2 linked regions of the Cricetulus griseus genome follow. The protein of the gene in region 2 interacts with the protein of the main gene of each other region in a biochemical or structural test. Links are inferred from orthologs where the notes say so. Each region holds a gene or a part of one and is shown on either strand. Other genes may lie near its edges.

Evidence for each region. The genes of interacting proteins can lie anywhere in the genome.
Region 1: the proteins of Ago2 (region 2) and Dicer1 form a complex in vitro, tested with the Homo sapiens proteins (2 studies listed by BioGRID and IntAct). The link is inferred for Cricetulus griseus from reciprocal best matches to the Homo sapiens genes AGO2 and DICER1.

Annotation. Positions count from the first base shown.
Region 1 is NC_048598.1:190,294,296-190,299,185, reverse strand, and holds the start of Dicer1 (endoribonuclease Dicer), read right to left. Parts: upstream 3,290-4,890; 5' UTR 3,249-3,289; coding exon 3,105-3,248; intron 2,496-3,104; coding exon 2,333-2,495; intron 1,516-2,332; coding exon 1,385-1,515; intron 545-1,384; coding exon 410-544; intron 1-409. UniProt on the Homo sapiens protein: Double-stranded RNA (dsRNA) endoribonuclease playing a central role in short dsRNA-mediated post-transcriptional gene silencing.
Region 2 is NC_048595.1:370,847,267-370,852,371, reverse strand, and holds the start of Ago2 (protein argonaute-2), read left to right. Parts: upstream 1-1,872; 5' UTR 1,873-1,887; coding exon 1,888-1,912; intron 1,913-5,105.

The DNA of each region.
Region 1 (4,890 bases), on a different chromosome or scaffold from region 2:
ATGAACACTAGTTTTAAGATTCATTCATCTGTATACTGGAGTCAAATTCCCAATTCTGGTAACTAACATCACTGCCCTTTGGACCTTTTCTTTTCTTTTTTTTTGTAAACACAGCATATAAGAGCCAAAGACATGGCTAAGTAATTAAGAACACTGGTTGCTCTTCCAGAAGACCCATGTTTAATTCCCAGAACTCAAACTTCAGCTTACAACCACCTGTAACTCCAGTTTCAGAAGGACCCTTTTCTGGCCTCTGAGAATACCAGGCACAAATGTGGTACATAGACACATATGCAGGCAAACTCCTATCCACATAAAATTAACATTTTGAAATGTTAAAACTGTATTTACTCAATAACTTAATAATTTGACCATCAATTACTGAAGTTGATAAAGTCTAAAAACCTACCTTCATAATTTCTCGGTAAGGGTGGTCTAGAATTGCAAGATGACACTCATCAAACACCAAAAGGTTAATGTCTGACAGTGATAAGTAACCATTTTTCAAAACATTCAAGGCGACATAGCAAGTCATAATGAGAACCTAAAATAAAACTGATATCAGTACACAAATGCCATTAACCTGCCTGGCTATATCTCTACCAAAGACCAGAGTGTCAGTATATGGAAGTGAAGATTATGAAATTCACGGGTCAAAATTAAAGCAAAGAAATTTACATATGTAAAACATAGGAACCAAGATGTAAACAATGACCAGTGATAGTATGGGAAAAGATTATGAGAAAAACGCCTTAGAAAGGGAGACCACGTCCTTATGGTAAGTTACTAAATCTACTTCAGGTTTCCCCAGCCATTGAAATATGAGACCTGTCAACTTAGTCAAAACATAGAAGAATTTACAGAGCTGACAGGGTTTTCTGAAAAATTAAATACTCTTTATACAGCCTATTGTTCTGGAAGGCTTTATTTAAGTAGGTTCATTCTAATATTCGAGAACTACTAGTGGTTAGCAGGCTGTTGGATGTTAGTTACAAAGCAGCCCTCAACCATTGTGTATCTCCCAGTACCACACACAAGAAGCCCTTAGCACATGCTATCTACTGAAAACATGAAGGCAGAGGGAGCCTCCCTCAAAGACCAGGGACCTCAAACAAGGAACTTTCCCAGTTTCAAAATACATTCTCTTCAAGTTCAATAAGTCACAGGTATTTGTGTTTTTCAAGCAAGTAAATAACGGCAGCTGCTCTCTTTTCTACCCTCTGGAGGCAAACACATTAGTAATGTATTGTTCATACTGGTTTCAGATGAACCTTACAGGGAGAGAATGGAAAGGACTGGGAGAATGTCCCTTTCTAGCTTCCTCCATAGCTAAGGCTAACGGGCTTGTAGTGTCTGTACAGTGAAATGTCCCTGCAGGTCTCACCTGGTGCTTAGTAAACTCTTGGCTCCATCTCTCTTTTGTCCAAGATGCATTTACTTCTAGGTTTGAGTACTCCCCAACCTTGAGGTCTGAGTGAGTTCTGACAGCTGAAACTTGTTGAGCAACCTGGTTTGCTGGCCACGAAGAAAACATGCAAATAGGAACAATGTACCCAGTTAGCTTTCTGAACAGTTACAAAAATTATCAGTTATACCTAGCCACCAATTTTTTAAATGGCTAATTTAAAAATCATAGTTCCAAGATCACCCTCTAAAATCATGGATGAGGCCTGCCACTTCCTCTTCCATCACTTCCTCCAGACAACCTCATATCTCCTTCACAGTTGACTTCCTCCATCCTAAAGATCTAAGTCCTTTTCAAACCAGAAGGACACCTACTCGACACCTGTCCCTTCTGCTCTCCTCACTGAAATCAGGTCAATCCACCAAGAAGTCATGTTCAAATCACACAATTATGCTAAGACTGTCTTAAAAAAAACAGAAGGGGAGGTCATTCTGGATTCCCAGGTTATACTTTCATGTCGACAATTCCAAGCATACAGACATTGGTTTAAGACATCAGACACTAAGTCTCCTCAGTAGCTTTAAAGACCCATATAAGTTTCTAAAACTGCTCCAGCTAAAATCGCCCATCAAGTAGGTTCCTATCTCTAGTCAGCCTTCAACCTGCTGTATGGAGTGAACCAAGAATCAAAGTAATTTTAACAATCTAGCCATCTCCCCAGAGCAAACCCCATTAGGAGAAATGCAGAGTCTGAACTATTGAGAAAGATGCTACAGAGAATAAAATAGTGTTTTGGCTAGCAGGGCTTCAGTAAGCTCATTGTTTGCCAAACTCTTTACTTCCAATAATTTAACTTAATACCCACAGAGATAAATACAAAGTCTCATCCAATTTTCTCCTCACATCTGGTAAATGATATTTGATTACCAGAGTTGACGAGGAACACGGTCCTTTTTGCACGTGGGTTGAGGTCGCCCCTGATCTGATGGGCCAGCTCTTTGGTGAGCAGGACCGCGATGAACGTCTTCCCTGAGCCGGTGTTCAAGCAGACAATGGTGTTATGGTCCAGAGCCGCTTCCAGCAGCTCAACCTGAAATATGGGAAAAGACCACACACTTCTTAATGAAGCACCACATATAAGAATTGACTTTTGTTTTAAACATAGAAATTTCCCTGTTTTCTCAAATCTAAATCTGCAGACAACTTTACAAAAAGAAAACCACTGTCTTCACATTTACTCAAGAATAACAGGGGAGTGAAATGGCTGTTATACACAGCTGTGCTGCTGTAAGCATATATTAAAATGGCACTAACAAATTTATTTAAGAATTATTTCTGCACATGTTAGTTACATATAACTGAATCTCCACTAGGTATGTTTCTACCAGCTCAGGGCTGAATACTTTCAAACCAATCTCCATCCCTACCCAGCTCACTAGGACTGATACAGCCAAATGGATATAAAGGAACAGTGAACTTGGGAGGGGATAAGGAACTCACAAACAGAACCAACACAAGTCAATTACCCAGCAGATGTTAGAACAGAAAAGAAAACAAAAAAAAAAATGTTTTAAATAAGAAAATTAATCAGAAGAGGGAGGCTTGAAAGAGTAAATGAGTTTTATAAGTTGTGTCAATTCTATAGTAATTTATTCTATTTTAGTGAAAAATGCTCCAGTATTAGTGGTTTCATTAGTACCTGGTATTTTCTTGGCGTATAAATGTTATCATGAATTGCTTCTTGTTGCCATGGCAGTCCAAAGAAAGGACCCATTGGTGAGGAAGCAGGGGTCATGAGCTGCAGGCCTGCCATGCTGAGGGGCTGCAAAGCAGGGCTTTTCATTCATCCAGTGTTTCTTTCATTGCATTTTGTTCTAGCACAGCTTACTACAAAAGGGAAAAAGAATACCATTACACAACCATGCAGGGTTAAAACAAAAGAAAGCACAGGAACAAGAATGACATCAGACTACTGCTCCAGAGAGCCTTTTCAATTCTTTCTGTGGTTGGTTTGGTCTCTCTTGAGATCTAAGAGGATGGTTTTAAAAGTCAAGCAGTCTATACTCAACCTGGCAATTATACCTAGAAGCTTTTCTAAAGAATGAACCAAACAACTGTACAAATATAAACACATCAGTCTGTATTGTTACATTACTGGAAGACAAGAAGTAGCTTTAAAACTAGTAGAAAACCATAGTAACTGTAGCTATCTAAAGGTATTGTCAAATAATGTAAAGGAATTCTTTAAAATTATTCACATTCTCATGGGTCTATATTTATTGGCAAAGAGCAAAGTCTACTGATGCCTTGTTAAACATATACCTACATGTAAAGTACAAACATACAAAAACATACTCTCTCTAAGTTCTCTAATATGCTGACAAAATAAGGAGCCAGCATACACGCAGGCACTAAAGGTGCAAACACCCGACCTGGTTAAATCACATTAGTAAAAGGGGTGTTTTGCTTAACTGGCAATCTGCAACTACACAGCTAAAACTATCCTTAGACATACATGTTTAAAATTATACATATCCTGATAAACTAAACACATGACATTTTCTAAATGGAAATTCTTCTATGACATCTAAGCACTCTCCCATTTTCATACATTCTTTTCCAGAAGTAAATTTCATTATGTAAGCTGGTAAAATAAAAATTGATCTTTTAAAAGTTTTCTGTGTGCGTACACACATGTATGTTTATGTGTATGCTGGTGTGTGCAAGTGTAGAGGTCACAGGTCAACAATTGGATGTCCGTCTCCAGCACATTCATTTTTTGAAGCAGGGGCAGCCTTGCAGAGCACTGTCTTCTGAGCATAACAGCCACCATTCTCACCAGGACAGCTGTGACTACGTTTAAAACAACCCCAAAGCAGATCCTGCTGAGTGATGGCTTTCCCTCAGAGGAGGAGCAGGCAACGAGAGTCAGTGAATACTTACCTGGAATTCCAGCTGCTCCCCCTACACTTCCTGCCGTGTGTGTGGAATCCTGATCTAATTGCACATGGCCTCATGGCCTCAGGAGGTCTAGAGTGGAAAATTAACAGAAGAGGGGACTCCAATGGAGTCTATGTAGCTATAGGAAGCTGCCATCCATGCTGGGAAGAGAATTCCTAGTGGTGTGGCTGCTTTGCAGTCACTCACTCTCCTATAAGTGACCCTTATGTTCTGTAAGTGAGCCCAATAAACTGACACCTTTCCCCTAAGTTGGACTTTGGTGGAATTGTATTTTGGTTTGTCACTGGAGCCCTGAAATGAAGGGACAGAGGTCTCAAAACATTTAGCATAATCTGCAGGATCATAGTAACTGGCTGGCCACCAATACCTCAAGATTTGCCCATCTCTCCCTACACTACCACATCCACACAACCCAACCTACCCCCAGTTCAGATTACAAATAATCACCAGGTGCCTGGCTTTTACACAGGTGTGTGGGATCAAAAGGGTCAGATCCTCAGCCGGGCATTGGTGGCACACGCCTT
Region 2 (5,105 bases):
CGAGTCCTGGGGGGCAGATATTGGGGTCTGGAAGCCGCCTTGGAAATGGCCAGCTCAGCGCTGTGGAGGAACCCAGAAAACCTTAGTTCCGAGGCTGCACGATTTTTCCAGAGTGTCAGTTTCTAGTGACTTCCTTGGGAACGAGACCAGGCTTTCCTCTGTTTTGCATGTTGCTCGTTTCGGCCTGTCATAGTGGTTTTTCATTCTGAAGACAGTCAGTAGAAGCTCAGAGAGGTTAAGAGCCCTGTAATGTTCAGGAGCCAGCAGGCATTAGGCAACCTGTTTGAACACTCCTAGAGAAGTGGCTTCCAGTATCTTTGACCTTGACCCACCGTTGGGACTACCTGTTTGGTGTGGATTAGACCAGTGGATGCCCAGATAGGGTGGAAATAAGAACCTACTGTGTGTTCTGCAAGGGGAGATTGCCTTTTAGAAAAGAATGCGGTAGCCCTCTGGATCAACCGGTTCGTTTTGGTCACTGGCAGCTTTGAAGATGGCTGCTGCTGCGTGGGCCTCTGCGTTGTGGCCTGAGGGAGAGACAGTCCCCTCTAACCAGAAAACCTTGGGCGAGAAAAGAGATGCCTGTAGGATAATTCCTGGCTAATGGCAGACTGGGAAGGAACCCAAGATCCAGGTGGGCCAGTGTGCTGTAATCGCAAGGTCGGAGTGCAGCTTCATTTTATTGTAGGCACCATGGCTTTTAATTTTGCTTGAAAGTACCCCCCCCCATACAATTTCTTCAATGAGACGCAACCATATTTCCAAATGTAGGAGGATGGAAGGCCATTGTATCTGAATTCTAGAAACGTTACAAAGAGTTTTGCGGCTCCCCAGCTTGAAGGGAAGTAAATACTTAGTAAATTAACATTAAAAATAGAATTCACAGTGGGTTATTATCCCCCTTTTACACGTGTGAAGCTGATAGCTGGAGGTGGGGGGGCAAGGTTCAGAACTTGACAGGTTTGGGTTGTTCCCCCACTCCCTTCCAAAAGGGTTAATGGTTTAGCATATGTAAATTCTCTACCCAACCGGAAACTTCCTATTAAAGTGGGTTATAGGTGGGGTCCCCCACCCAAGGTTTTTAAGCTGTCTGGCTGTACTCCGGCTTTTATTGCCCAGGAGGATTTGCTACAAAATAACCTCTATGACAGTGAAAAATGAGTGTAGAGTTGCCAATCAGGATTGGGATTTTTGAGCATATACTGTGGCCCTGCTCCCTGGATTCTCCCCCAACTCCCAGTTGTGTGGGAGGGTACCACTGCAGCTTGGCGGGCTCTGCTGCCAGCGGCTGGAATGCATACAGCATGGTGGCTGATGAGCATTTGTGGGAAATATCTCCCCCCCCCCCAGCCTGTGTAGTTATTTAAATAAGGTGTTGCTTGTAAAAGCTTTGATTTACACATTCTTAAGAAGCAACATTTTGTAACTGAGTTTCTTTGTCAACACCATTGGGTTTATTCTTTGCCGTTCAAGAGACTGGGCTGCCAGGATGACAAAAATGTTTCTTTTTTTTTAAGCTATATGAATTGTTATTGTAGAAAATGTAACAGGATTTTTAAAAAGTTTCTACCTTGAAGTAATTTTACATGAAAGCAGGGTGAAAGCAGATTTGGTTTGTGCCTGTCCATTCCTCCTCCTCCTGCAGTTATAGGTGTTTGGGCGGTGGCTTTCCAGCTGCCTCTTCCCCACTGACATCCTCAAGCATGCTCCAGATCAGCCAGTTCACCCTGACATGCTTGTGTGTACAGAATACAGGGAATTTTTGTTTGTTTGTTTGTTTGTTTGTTTTGCCCCTTCTCTTTCAGAGACAGGGTGGGCTGTATAGCCCGAGCTGGTCTCAAGCTCATTCTCCTGCCTCTACTCCTGGAGACATGGGATTACAGGCTTATGTCACCACAAAGAGCTGGTGCAGGTATGTATGAACACAGCCCATTGCCATCGTTATACCAGGTGCTATCACTTCTCTTGGCTTCAGAAACATGATTACACTTGGATTATTTTTTAAATTTTGTTTTTATTTGTATGATTAGTGTTTACCTACATGCATGGATATGTACCACATACATGCCTGGTGGCCCCAGAGACCAGAAGGGGCATCAGGAAACGAGTCACAAACATTTGTGAATGTGGATCCTGGGAACTGAACCTGGGTCCTGCAAGAGCAACAAGTGCTCTGAACTGCTGAGCCATCTCTCCAGACCCTACAACTGATATTAGAATATGGAGTTATGAAAGAATGTGTAAATTTGGGTTTCTGTCATCTAAATCTTTCTTGGTTGTATTTTGGTTTTTGAAACATGGTACCCAGGCTGGCTTTGAACTCATTTTCCCTTGTGGGACATCCCCAGATGTGTGCCATTACATCAGCAGTGTTTTGCCAAAGCCTTGAAAAGTAGGCCTCTTCCACCTTTGTCTGCATTTCCAACTCCAGATGCCTACATCCTCTTCCTTTATCTGCTCCTGACCCAGCACCCTGCAGCTTCACTCTACCAGCATCACTATCTCACGGGCAGTGAGGCTACGCTGGCCCAGCTCCAGCCTGCACCATCCTTTTCACCCTGGCAGGTTAAATAAAGTGAAGCTCTTGTGGTGAAATGGCGTCAAGCTACAACTTAATTTCCCACTTTCACCTCTAGAGCTGAAGAACCTGAAATCCCTATTTATACCTTTTTTTTTTTTTTTTTTCCTCTTTGAGACCAAACAACTGTGCCTTTCCATCAGTTTTTCAGTAGAGCTGTGCAGGGTTCATCATCTAACCTGGGAGCTTCCTCCAGTCAAGTGTGGTATTTGGACAGCCGGCAGACCTGGTGGGCCATACCTAAGTCAGGCCTGAGGCTCAGGAGCAGCACCAGGGCTGAGTGTGTCCACTTGCTTCACACCCAGTGCATCTGGAGTCCTCCTGATGCCTGAAGGTACACATGTGGTGTCCCTGAGATGGTATACCAAAATGTGTTGCTGCAGCCCCAAGCAGGGGGCCCACCGGGTGTGTGAAGCAGCCAGACCCTCTGCTGTCTGCCAAGAACACAGTGCCTCTGGCTCTTGGACACTGGACCAGCATCCGGGAACTCTATTCTTGGTCTTCCCTAGTGTCAGCAGGGGCATTGGATAGATGAACATAGTCATCCACTTCAGTCCTGTCCTCCTAGGCATGTGTGGGGAGTTTGGCATCTGTATGGGTCTCAGTTTCCCTGTCTGGAGCATGTGAGATATTTCCCAGGTTGCTCACACCCTCTGGACATTGTGACCTGGATTCTTTTTCTTTCTGGTGTGGCACAGGTTGAAGGGGAGCCATGTGTATGTGTCCCCAGTCATCTTGAGAACTTGCTGGTAGGATGATTGGTTACCCAGAGTAGCCAGACAGGGCCCATTAGAACCAGGTTCAAGATGAGCCTGCAGAGGTAGGCTTCCATTGCTGCCTATATACATTACAAGTGGTGGGCTCTGTTCCATATGCCAACACAGATATGAGTTCCAGTCAGGTACTTAGACATGGTTAAGACTGAATGGAATCTTATGGAGATGCAAAGAGCATTAAAAGCATCCACCTCCCATGTTTACAGTGTGTCTGTACAGGTGCTATTGGTTCCTTGTCCCTACTCCTCCTGACTTCCAGGGAGCTCACTTGAAGCTTAGAGTCCTTGGAAGCATCTTGAATAGCTCACTGGAGAGCACAAGGCCAGGGGAGCTCGGGAGGGATGCTGAGGAGGGCAGCAAGGGAGTGAGGAGTTGACTTAGGGATTAGGTAGCTGGATGGTGCCAGTGGTTTAAAGAGAGGATTTGGGGCCTTGGAGATATTGACCAGGCCAACACTGTAGGAGTCAGAGAGGAGGAAGAGACCCCGGGCAGGAACTGCTTCCAAATCTTTGTGGTGCCAGGTGGGCAAGCTCATTCTGGAAAAACACCAGATAGTTCTTCATGTGTGTGTTTGGGCAGGAACTGGCTCCAGGGCTAGCCATGGGGACCACCCTGTCAGCTCTCTTAGCTTCCTTTACCTAGGAGAGGGTGGTGATGGATTGTGGGTTGTATTAGATATTTTTCTTTTGTTGTGATAAAACACTATGATCAAGGCAACTTATAGAAGGAAGTTTATTTGGCACTGATCATTCCAGGGGGTCAGAGTCCATCATGGCAAGGAGGCTTGGCAGCAGAAGCAGGAAACTGAGAGCTCACATCTTTTCAGACATTTACAAGCATGAAGCACAGCAAAATGGAAATGGCAGAGTCTTCAAGCCTTCGAAGTCTGCCTCTTGTGATGTACTTCCTCCAAGGCCATGCCTCCTGAGCTAACTAGGGATCAACTGTTCAAATGCCCAAAACTAGGGACATTTTTCATTCAAACCACCACAAGGGTGAACGGAGTTGAGCCAGTGCCTCATTGTCTCTAGGGGAGACTCATCTGTGTGAATGGTCCAGCTAGACAGGCATTGGGTTTGTCTGTACCTTCATCCTGACAACCACTGTTATGAAACATTGAGTAAATTATTTCATGGCCATGGCATGAAGAGAGGCCAGATGTCACTGAGTTTTAGGGCTATTAGGTTTGGGGTGCTGAAGGGAACAATTTGAAGCTGGGGGTGAGTGCTGGAGGTAGGTGTGAGAAAGCCAGGAGAAGTGGATAAGGCTCTGGCCCCGGACAATCTGGGATTCCATAGCTGGCGCTCAGTCAGCCCTCTAGCCCTGACTTGGATGGGCCGGAAGGAGAGCCAGATCACCTGCAGGCCTTTCCCCACTTGTACCCAGAAGACCTAGGAGATGCCACAGGTAATTGCTGTTCCAAAGGGCGTGGGACTCCCAGATGCTGCCAGTAGGGCCTCTGGGAAGGCAGAAAACAGTCCCAAGTCACTCCCAAGGACGCCAGTGTCAGAAGTGGGGCTGGGCCAGAAACCTGGCTTGGATGGACCTGAGAGAACTGTTTCTGCATTGACACAGTCTAGGAAATGGCACAGCACCAGAGGACTTTCCAAAGCCTTCCAACAATTAAGTTTACAGCTTCTTGTCTGTCTGCTTACCTGCCCCTTTTCTAAAAAAGCTTACAGGTGTAATCTGGGGCCACCATGCTGGGCTATAACTGCGGCTTGTCTGCTCCATCCTTCAGTTGGGGTAAA